Rattus norvegicus: one gene and its partner. The protein of the gene in region 2 interacts with the protein of the main gene of each other region in a pairwise test. Links are inferred from orthologs where the notes say so. Each region holds a gene or a part of one and is shown on either strand. Other genes may lie near its edges.

Region 1 (5,275 bases), on a different chromosome or scaffold from region 2:
TCCCTCCTGGGACAGGGACACTAGTGGACTGTAGCATGGCCAAAAGGGCCTCAATCATGACAGGGGATAGTTTTGATCACCTTGAATGACAACAACAAATCCTAGTAAAGGTTAACGAGTGCGGTGTTGCAGAAGTCAAACGTCACACAATTTAGACACAAGAACTGGAAACCAACACGACTTTTCCCTTAACAGCCCTCTCGTCAGAGCTGCATGATGCCTAGATCAGTGCTCACTTCTGCTGGGTGAGCGCCATGTCCTGCACTGCCTGCTGTCTCCCAGGCACGCCCGCCTGCCCGCCCGCCGCCCTCACCTGTCTGTGCTCTTCGTACTCCAGCTTACTCAGCAGCAGCGCCTTCTCGAGGTCGGCTTCAAACATTTCAGAGGTCAGCTAAAAAGATTGTTTCACAATAAACATCCATTTACACTACACTTTCAAAATAAGCATGATCTATGAGAATACACACAGCAAAGGAAAATGGATGTACTTTAAACGAACATTTATCAGTTTTCCTAAGTTATTTAACCATGCTATCCTAGCAACCTTGTGCTGTACACAAGCATCAACTCCTGTTTTTGAAATTTCTATTTCCCCATTCATTGTTAATTTGGGTAAATACCCACGTCTACATATGCTATAGATATCTCATATTTTTCTCCCCAAAATCCCCTCACACTGTGAATAAAATATTCTGACATCCTTAATTCAACAGGACAGGTAAGCATCCCAATCAGACACGGTGCCACACCAGCAGCCACGTGGCCGGACCAGCAACAGCAGGCAGGGAAGGTCAGCCAGGCCTTCTCCACTCTCCCAGGCGCTGTCTTCGGATATGCAGGAAGGAAGGACACCCACCTGACAGTTATCCCGAGATGTGGTGTCTGCTAGCTCCCGCCTTGGAGTGTCCCAGAACTTGCTAGTTTCCATCTTTTATGGCCTAAGTTTTCAGGTTTTAGTTACTCCTCAATAAATTTTTGCCCAAGTTACTAAGAATTGTTATGTTGTTCAATGTTTTAAAATATACAGACTAAAATAGTAACCAATGTCAAAAGGAATGGGTAAAGGCTGTCTTAAAAATTAGAAAACTATCAAACTCTACAAATTAAACTTTTCTAAGTGAAATCACCCCTTAGAAAGCATCTCACTTGATCCTTCGCCAAGACAAAAACAGTGAAACAAGCTAGCTTTACACAGAAAAACACTAACGGAAATGCAATGAGAATTAGACTGGTAAGGAAAGTGCATGCAGGAATCTGAGGAGGCCCACAATAAACTGCAATCCTACGATGATCCCGGGGGACTGAGGAGTTATGCAATCCCAATTAACTATTAGCAGGAAACAGCACCTCACAGCTTAATCCTAGGGGCCTGGAGAGCTGGCTCAGTGCTTATGAGCACTGGCTGCTCTTGCAGAGGACTCATTCCCAGCACCCACATGGTGGCTCATTCCAGTTCCAGAGGCTCCAGCACCCTCTTCTGGCTTTTGTAAGTACTAGGTACACAGGTGATATACTTACACACATGCAGGCAAAATCTCCATAGTAACCCCCCAATCATTATATAGGTAATAAAAAATAATAGTGGGGCTGGGAATTTAGCTCAGTGGTAGAGCCCTTGCCTAGCAAGCGCAAGGCCCTGGGTTCGGTCCTCAGCTCCAAAAGAAAAAAATAATAATAAACTAAAAATAAGATATATATATGCCACATTAAAAAAGTATAAATCAGTTTATCTAAACTGAGTACAAAATGTTTGCTCATAAGTTAAAATATAATAATGATCTTTTTAAAAAACATTTATTTATTATCTATGAGTACACTGTCGCTGTCTTTCTTCAGACACACCAGAAGAGGGCATCAGACCCCATTACAGATGACTGTGAGTCACCATGTGGTTGCTGGGATTTGAACTCAGGACCTCTGGAAGAGCAGTCAGTGCTCTTAACCACTGAGCCATCTCTCCAGCTCAATGGTGATCTTTTTAAAAGTATTTGTCCTGAACAAAGCTGGTTAATTTGCCACTATAATCCTATTTTTAACATTTAATTGTGGTAAGAAAATTTGTGATTTCTTCTAATATCATACATACATTTGGGCTGAAGTTTCAAAAAGTCAGACTGCAGGACAAATTAGGAAACCTTGCAAGATACTGATTTTCCAGTAACTCACTGAATTTAATTTGTAGTGCAGATCATTCTGATAAAACAATAAAAAAGAGTGTGTGTGTGTGTGTGTGTGTGTTGTTTTGGTCTGTGCTTTTAAGAGAGAAGCTCTTATTATGCTGTCCTGAGGTCATTACACAGACCCAGTGGATCACAAATTCATAGATCCGATGAATTTTACTTAGAAATGAAATTTGAAGTGCAGAAAACAAAAGCCGACCGATCAACAACAACCCCATGGCTTTCCCAGGACCCTGAGTCTAGCTGTAAGTTTAGTCTGCCCCCCCCCCCCCCGCCTGCGGAGCCGACAACTGGCCTACAGTGCGGTGAGCAAGCAGAGGTGAAGAGTGAGAGCATCGCACGCAACTCCAGCCACCCTCACATGTGCTTGTTACTAAGATAAACTAGTGTACAAGTAAACAAAAGGAATGAAACCTAAAATCTCAAAACAAAGAAGAGCCTTAATTGGGACATACCAATTCTCTGAAAATAAATTTTATGTTGCTATTTAAAGGACAGAAGTAATTTTGATAGGTAGAAAAAGGAATAGAATACAATGCTGACATACAATGCTCACGATAGTTCACAAAGTGCCCTATCTCATGGAATACTAAAGACCACCCTGATACACGGTGCAAGACTGGAGCATTTCCTTCTAAGCACAAGTTCTAAGATTCCGGGTCTTTCAACAACATACCTAGTAAATTCCTCAAGGTCCTGAACCATGTGATCTGTTTTCTTTGAGAACCACCTGATCACCGTGACAGCAAATATGGGAAAGAAAGGTAATCGGAGACTGTGTTCAAGTTTACACACTGCTTTCGGTATAAATCTGACTCATTTTCCTATGTTAGTTTCCCTCTGGCTACTGGGAGAAATTCTCCTTGGTGAAGACAATGGTAAATCCTATCACAATCCAACGGCAAGTCAACGGCATGTCACCAGCGGGAAATGTCAACAGCATTAATGTGTGGCTCCTGAGTAATAACTGGTACTCACAATACTAAGTCTTGGACAGTGCAAGAGCCTAAAGAAAAGGCACTGAAAACGGTTTATCTGAAGCGTGTGCTCAAGCACTGCTGGCCTCCATGAGTTTGCTTTATTGGTCCCCAGCTAGGCTGAACTCAAGCTTCCTGCCTCAGTTTCCCAGGAGGTTAGATGCTTGGATTACATACGTGTATCACCACACCTAGCTTTGTCTACTTCCTTTAAAATGGTAACACAGAATGACTGGAAATCCAATAAATGGACCAAGTACTGTCTGAAAATAATGCCTATTTCCTACAGATCAAATTATAGTTCAGTAAATATGAAAATAACGTTCACTTCCTACGAGTGTGTGCACACACATGCACACTCATTCTCACACACACTCTGTGCCTTCCTTCCTTCCCTCCCTCGTGTGTACTCTCTCAAAGAGATACAGACTAAATACCACTAAATAGGTCAGCAGAGCCAACATGCCGTCAGCAGTTTCAGACAAAGTTACAAAGAAGTTTTACTTCAAAGTCACTGTTTAAGCAAAACTGTTACTACATATTTTTAATAAGAGATTTGTAGTCCTATAAATCCGTTTTAAAAAATTTGAACAAGTGCTTTTCAACCCTCTCTTCAGCCCTTCAAAAGCTGAAATAAGTATATTTCTCTATGTTCCTAACACTTTCCCTTACAAACAGTGGATGAACTAAAAACAGATGACCAGGGCTAGGGTTGTAGGTCAGGATGCTTAGCTAGCGTGCTGAGGCCCGAGTGAATTACCTACTGCGCCCAGGCCGCGCCCCATCAGAGCCCGCAGCACTGTGGGGGAGAGCTCGGCTGTGCTGCCATCTTACCAGGCCGTCGGCCCAGAACAGCCAGGGAGGGCACACACTCAGCTGTACCTGCTCGTCTCTCTGTCTCCACTCTTGCCAGTTTTCTTCCCGTGATTCCTTCTGCACTGGGTTTGGCAATGAAAGCTCATGTTGAACATTGCAAACAGAATGGGAGGATTTCTGGGGAATTTTCTTGAAAGCAAGATTCCTGAGCTAAGAAATAAGCACAAAATATATTACATTCTGCACATCAATACTAGTGGCTTTAATTTTAAAATATTTCTAGTCCATTCCTTACATTAACTTATACAATGGAAAGTTATTTGTGGATTTATCTCTATTTTTAAATTTATTAATTTGTTTACCACACAAAGTCTCACTATCCTGTCCAGGCTTGCTCAAGCAACCCTGCCAGCTTAGTCTCCTGAGCAGCTGGGGCTACAGGCACGGACTGCCCCCCTTTAAGATGTCTCTGTCTTAATTTAATAGCATGAACACACAAGCTGCTCCAGTCAGGAAGAATGTCTGAGTGTTGGCTGCGTGTGGGTTCAGGTAGGTGAATGTCACCGGGAAGCCGTGTCCTGTGCCTGACACGGTGTCTGCAATGAGGCTGATGGCGTGTGCTCCCTGCCCCAGGACACAGACAGCCATGGCTACCTCGTTTGCTTCACTCTGCTGCTGCTCCTTCTTTTTCCTCCTCTTCTCCCTTTTTTTCTCATTGGCGGTTGATTTGTTCCCCAGAGTCTGAGACTTCCCATTGTTCCGCCCTTTGCCTTTCCCAGGCTCAGAATCAGAGCCACTGCCGCTGTCCACTTGCAGCAGGGCAAAGCGGGAGGCAGTTGTAAGCACAGAGCTGAGGACTGCTGAGGCCATGGCTCAGAACAGGGGCTTAAACGCTTATGTCAACAGTAACTCCTGTGGGCAGGGGGAAGGAGGGGAGGGAGGGAGAGGGGAAGAGAGAGGGGGAGGAGGAGGGGGAGGAAGGGGGAGAAAGGGGGAGAAAGGGGGAGGAGAAAACATTGAAGAAAATTACTCTAGTTTCTCCAACTGCCATACATGTAAAATACATTTCTCCTAACATCACATTTGGTAATATTTGGGTTTGCACCCACAATTCCACTGTCATTAACATATTTTAACTAAACCAAACAACATAAAGTTATTCAGAAGAATATGTGGGTTTATTGATTTCACAGAACTATAATCAATACACAATGCCCATTTCCACATCTGGTTTTAGAAGTCCTTAACTTTTCTGTAAACGCTTTTGTGGTGTCCACACACTCGTGAACAGAGGCTACATCA
Region 2 (5,214 bases):
TACAGCAGAAAAACCCTAAATGTTTTTAAATAGGTGTGACAGCAAACATCAGCTCTTCACGAAGAAGTCTGCTGAGAGCCAGGTCACCCATATTAGGGTTACTGTCAGTATCTTCCCACTTTCCATTCTCACTCCCGTAAAAGACTATGGGGGCAACTAAGGAGGATGAGTTCTGTTTTAAGAGATACATGGATTTATAAGCATTTTCATTCCCTGCACCACCAGCTAGGCAATGTCACTAAATGCTGGCAATTCTGTATGTCAAAACACTGACTGTAGCTCTTTCACATTAACACGACTCCCAGTTTACTCATGATTATGGTGTGACAGGTATGCACCCCTTATTCCCCTTCCCCAGAAAAAAAAGTTTTTTTTAAAACTTTTACTAAACGACTTTTCCCACATAAGAGTCTAAAGGATTTCTCATCTCATTAATGCTTCTTCTCTCTTTTTCTTCCCCGACGAAAAGCTCCCTAATGAAATTTTTTTTTTGCCCCAGTTGTTGTTTACAGTGATTCTCATCCCATTTCACCTTCTCTTCACCTACTGTCCACTGCAGCATACTGACTTCGGAGTCGCACATGTGACTGTGCTGCTGGGTGCAACTTCCTATTACCACCCCCTCCTCGATTTCATTAGTGTCATGACTCATACAGGAATCACTGTCAGAATAATTTCGTTCATTTTCATCCCCCCCGAAAAGATGAAATTTCAGATCTTCTTTTTACCCCTTAGCAAGATAAGGACTTGATTGGGTCATCAATTCTTTCTGAAATGAGTTTCCTAATTCGTACATTCAGAGGCTAATTTGCGCAAAACTCTCAGAATTAATTAGAAAAATCAAATCCTTAATGTATGCAGCAGGGAGACAAGGGTGCTTGTGTGAGTGGTAGCCATGGGGAGCTAAGTGTCAAGACTCCAGTATAAGGTCTATGATTTTTAGGGTATTTCATTACCAGCATCCTTTCATTTTTCTTGCTTTGTGCTGATACAGTCATTCCTTACTTCTTATGGCTGGTGGGAGGATAAAATAAAGAAGAAAATGCACAACGAGGGTTTAGTAGCAATATTTCATTCTGTTAAAGTGCCCACCAAAGACTATTTAAAACAAAAAAACAAAACAAAACAAAACAGAAAAGGGACAGTCCCTACATAATTCCTGTTATTATTCCCACGTTATGTGAACATGCCTTTTTTTGTTATCACGCCTTTAATGTGACCAATTTCTTGAAGCACCACAATTTTCAAAAAACTTCTGAGTGGTTATGAGTGGTGTTTTCCCACTCTGTTAGAAGTATACTTGCTCATGTTGTACACGGGGAGAATCTTTCTCATCCCTACCCACTCCCATTCCCCCTTTCACCAAAATAAATGCCTCCCCCCCAAACAAAGAAATTATTTCACGGTATATTTAATGCTCATTTTAAAGTTTATTTATGGTGGGGTTGGATACATGTTTTGCAAAGTGTGCTAAGTGCTTAAACTGAAAACAGTCCAGTTCAAATCAGTCCATTCCACATGGATGTTTCCTGTGCCAGTTGGAGTCATATGGAGAGGGACCCTGACCTTTCTCTTGGTCAGGTCTGTGTTGTTGTTAAGTCCTGCTAACTCTCCAGGGCCTTCTTTGTCGATACGGACCATCAGTCCCATTCAAAGAACAAGATACAGAACACCTCAATGTATTTCACAAGTTTAGCACAGCACATCTCTTGTACAAAAATCCAAGAAAGCACAGAAGTGAAAGTACCAACTTGCTCACTTATAAAACACACATGCATCAATTTTAAACACTACACGAGTACACAACTGAATACATTGCATTACAAGATAAAAAAAGCACTGGATGGAAAACTTAAAAACTATACATGAAATACTGCACTATGAATCTGGGATACTCTAATGTCCAACCCCACCCTTACACAGCCCTAGTATGGGTCAGAAACTATCAATGTGCTCCTGGACATTTTAGTCCTCAGAGACACTGCTGCGGGGGGCCTGGGCGACAAGATTAGCCTCCCGCAGAGCTCTGGCCTGCTCCAGAGCCTCTCTGTAGCGGGAAGGCCAAGCCTGGGGATCCTTCTTAAAGACTCTGGCCAGGAACTCCATGATCTGCATCTTGGTGATTTCACGGTTAGCTCTGGGGCCCCAGAAGAACTCGTACTCGGGAGGCTCGATGTGGGGCACACGCTGGTACTTCAGGTAATTCTGCTGGACGAACTCCTCGGTGATAATCTTTCTCACATCTCCGAAGGTGGAGTGCTTCTTCCAGGGCCTCAGCCCCAGGATGCGCAGCACATTCCAGACCGCACCCTCTCTGGCCCCGCGGCCCTTCACATAGATGAGACTCAGGATCATGAGCAGGAGACCTGTCATGGGCATACGGTTGTTCAGCGCGACTCTGTCCAGCTCTTCTGGGCTGAGTGCTTTGACCAGGGCGAACTCCATGGTGTGGAGATTGGTCAGCCTCAGGTGCAGCCCGAAAACTCTGGCGAGGATGACGCTGGTGCGCCTGAGGATGCTTCTGCACCACTTCTTGTAGCTGCCCATGACCTCTTTCACCATGTCTGGAAACCAGAGGACCATCCTCTTCTGGTCCTTGACCAACACGTACCACATGAGCTCGTGCGCCTTCTGCACCAGCTGGGCAGGGGCCGGCGGTGCTGGGATCGGCCGGGCTGGGCTCTGGGGCTGGTGGGCGCGGCCCTCTTCTGCGGCCTGCTGCAGGATCTTAGGGTCAACCTCTTCAAACCGTTCTGCAGGTGGTGGCGAGGCCTGTGGGGCTGCCATAGGGCCTTCCGGAGCGCACGATGGCCCTGAGAGGTTCGCGGCCAGAGGAGCGGGAGGAGGGACCCCCACCGGAACAGCATCGCTGACCTGCATCTCAGTGTCGGGGTCCTCAGCGGCAAAGTTAGGGTCGCTCAGGTCCTTACTTTGTTCCGACATTCTGCGTCTTTTGATCAGAGCAGGACCGCTGCGACTCGGAGCTCTCGGAGCCTGCACTGCCTCAGTGGATACTAGCAGAGGAAGTGCGCTTTACTGAGCACTGCGCCTTCCGCAGCAGCGGGCCGGGCGGGGCAGACGCTATATTGCGCATGCGTAGTGGGAAGCCAGAAGGGTGGTAGGGCTGGATAGGAGCGAAGTAGCAAAGCCCAACCACTGGGGTCTAAGGGAGGGTACCACTAGTATTATGAAAAGGATCTCCTGGTCTCCTGTATGGGACAGAGATGGGTGATAGTGGGGAAAGAAACAAGTTGAAGGAGAAAGATATAGCTGAGATGGTGAAGTTAAGTTCCGACACACTGAGTTAAGTGTGAAGGTCCTGGAGGAAGAAGACTAATTCTTGAATTTGAGTTTTCCACAAAAGAATAGGAGAGACAAAAATAACCTTTTCTTGGAAAGTCATACCTGATGATGATGATGATGATGATGATGATGTGTTGTCTAATATCAGAATGTTGAGAAATTATTAATAGAGATAAATCGTTACAAATCTGAGCAGTATCAAACAAGGAAGAATGCAAAGTATAGTTACAGACACTGGAAATCAATCCATGTGAGAATTTAATGTTTTAGAAGTAGATTCATATAACATAATTGATGTGCGTCTAAAATTTTAATTAAAATGGGACTTGGTTCAGTGGGCAAGAGCTGTTGCAGTTCAAGCATGAACCTGAGTTTAAACCCCAGGTCCCACATGAACAAAACAGATATATAAAATTATTTATATGTATTCATTCATCGTTGGATTCTTAGTTTGTTGGCTTACAATTATTTTAATAACTATGGATTTGGGCTCTGCATTTCTATTAGGTCACTTTGATTTCATTTAGAAATTCCCTTAAGAATCTAGTGGGAAATGATCAACATGTTTATTAATACACATTTTATGATAGTGTATTTTTCATGCACTCCCAGTGCCCTTTCCCCCTGCTTACTGCTGTTACATCTTCATGTTTATAAGAAATCTTCCACGTCTTGCATTACGTCATTAGCAAATGACTAATTCCATGTTGGGCGCACGTCCAAATCTTTCCCAATATCTTTCAAATGCAATTCTTTTGGATAATATCTAACATTCTTTCATAAATGAGAGGCAGCATATTGGTGTTCATAAATAAAAAATGTAGATTGAGAGGAGGTAACCTGAACCTGATATTTCCTCGAACTTTCCTTTATGCAATGACCATGGTTGAAGCTTCCAAAGCCAGAAGTCCTTAAATTTGATCATCTTTCTTATTCTGAAATAATGGAATTCCTTAGCCCTTCTTTGAGTTCCTCAAGTTTAAAACATCTTAAAATTATGCATTGAGATTTATTATCACTTAAAACAGATGTATTTAAGGTATTGGGTTGGCATTCCTTGGCTCTTCAATGTGTTTATTTAGACAAGACAGACATCTTTTACCCAGAATATTTGTGGCAAGAAGTATGTCCGTGTTTCCAGGTTTGAGAATATTCGCATATGTACAATGATATGTTATAAGCTCCAGAATAGACATGTTATTAGTTTGCTTTCTATCCACATTTTGAAGGCAACATTATACAATAGTCCTGGTAGACTTTTGTCTCAGTTGTGATCTGGTGAGAGCTGATATGGGATTTGTCACTTGTAATATCCTGTACATCCTGGAAATGTTTCAGATTGTACAATGTTTGCTATTTCGGGTATTTGGACTAAGAGTGCTCTAGTCATTTCTTAGATATGTTTTTCCCAAGTGGGTTGATTTTGAAGAATTTTCTGGGCTAACTCACTATGTGTATACATACATGCACATACTGTATGTATACCTATGCATACAGTGTGTTTGCCATCCTGTACTTAATGGGTTCTTGAAAACAAATCACAAATATGGGACCAATAATTTTGAAGTTGTTTCTTGCTCAGATAGAATACCAGAGATGTGACCAGACAGCCACTTGGGCTTCAGCGACTGTCTAGAGTGAGCTGTATAATAGAATTCCTAGCTGGAACTCACTCTAAAGAAGCTGTTAGCATGATAGTATGCAGAACCTCTACTGAAGCTCGCAAGACACATTCCTATTGATAAGAAAGTTGCTTACTGCTGAACCAGGGAGTATAGATTAGGACCACATGAATAGATAGTGCTTCAAGAATTCAATCCACAGAATTAATGTTCAATTTAAAAGGAGTCCAGTGTAAACTGTGGTTCTGCTTAGCTTCAGAGTTCCAAAGCACCCCTACAGATAACATTT

What was found.
Region 1: the proteins of Ndn (region 2) and Gkap1 interact in a two-hybrid assay, tested with the Homo sapiens proteins (2 studies listed by BioGRID and IntAct). The link is inferred for Rattus norvegicus from reciprocal best matches to the Homo sapiens genes NDN and GKAP1.

The regions. Positions count from the first base shown.
Region 1 is NC_086035.1:6,398,397-6,403,671, reverse strand, and holds part of Gkap1 (G kinase-anchoring protein 1), read right to left. Parts: intron 4,886-5,275; 5' UTR 4,844-4,885; coding exon 4,628-4,843; intron 4,184-4,627; coding exon 4,040-4,183; intron 1,544-4,039; exon of another isoform or gene 392-1,543; coding exon 314-391; exon of another isoform or gene 196-313; intron 1-195. UniProt on the Homo sapiens protein: Regulates insulin-dependent IRS1 tyrosine phosphorylation in adipocytes by modulating the availability of IRS1 to IR tyrosine kinase. Its association with IRS1 is required for insulin-induced translocation of SLC2A4 to the cell membrane.
Region 2 is NC_086019.1:125,258,855-125,264,068, reverse strand, and holds Ndn (necdin), read right to left. Parts: upstream 3,011-5,214; 5' UTR 2,944-3,010; coding exon 1,966-2,943; 3' UTR 1,411-1,965; downstream 1-1,410. UniProt on the Homo sapiens protein: Growth suppressor that facilitates the entry of the cell into cell cycle arrest.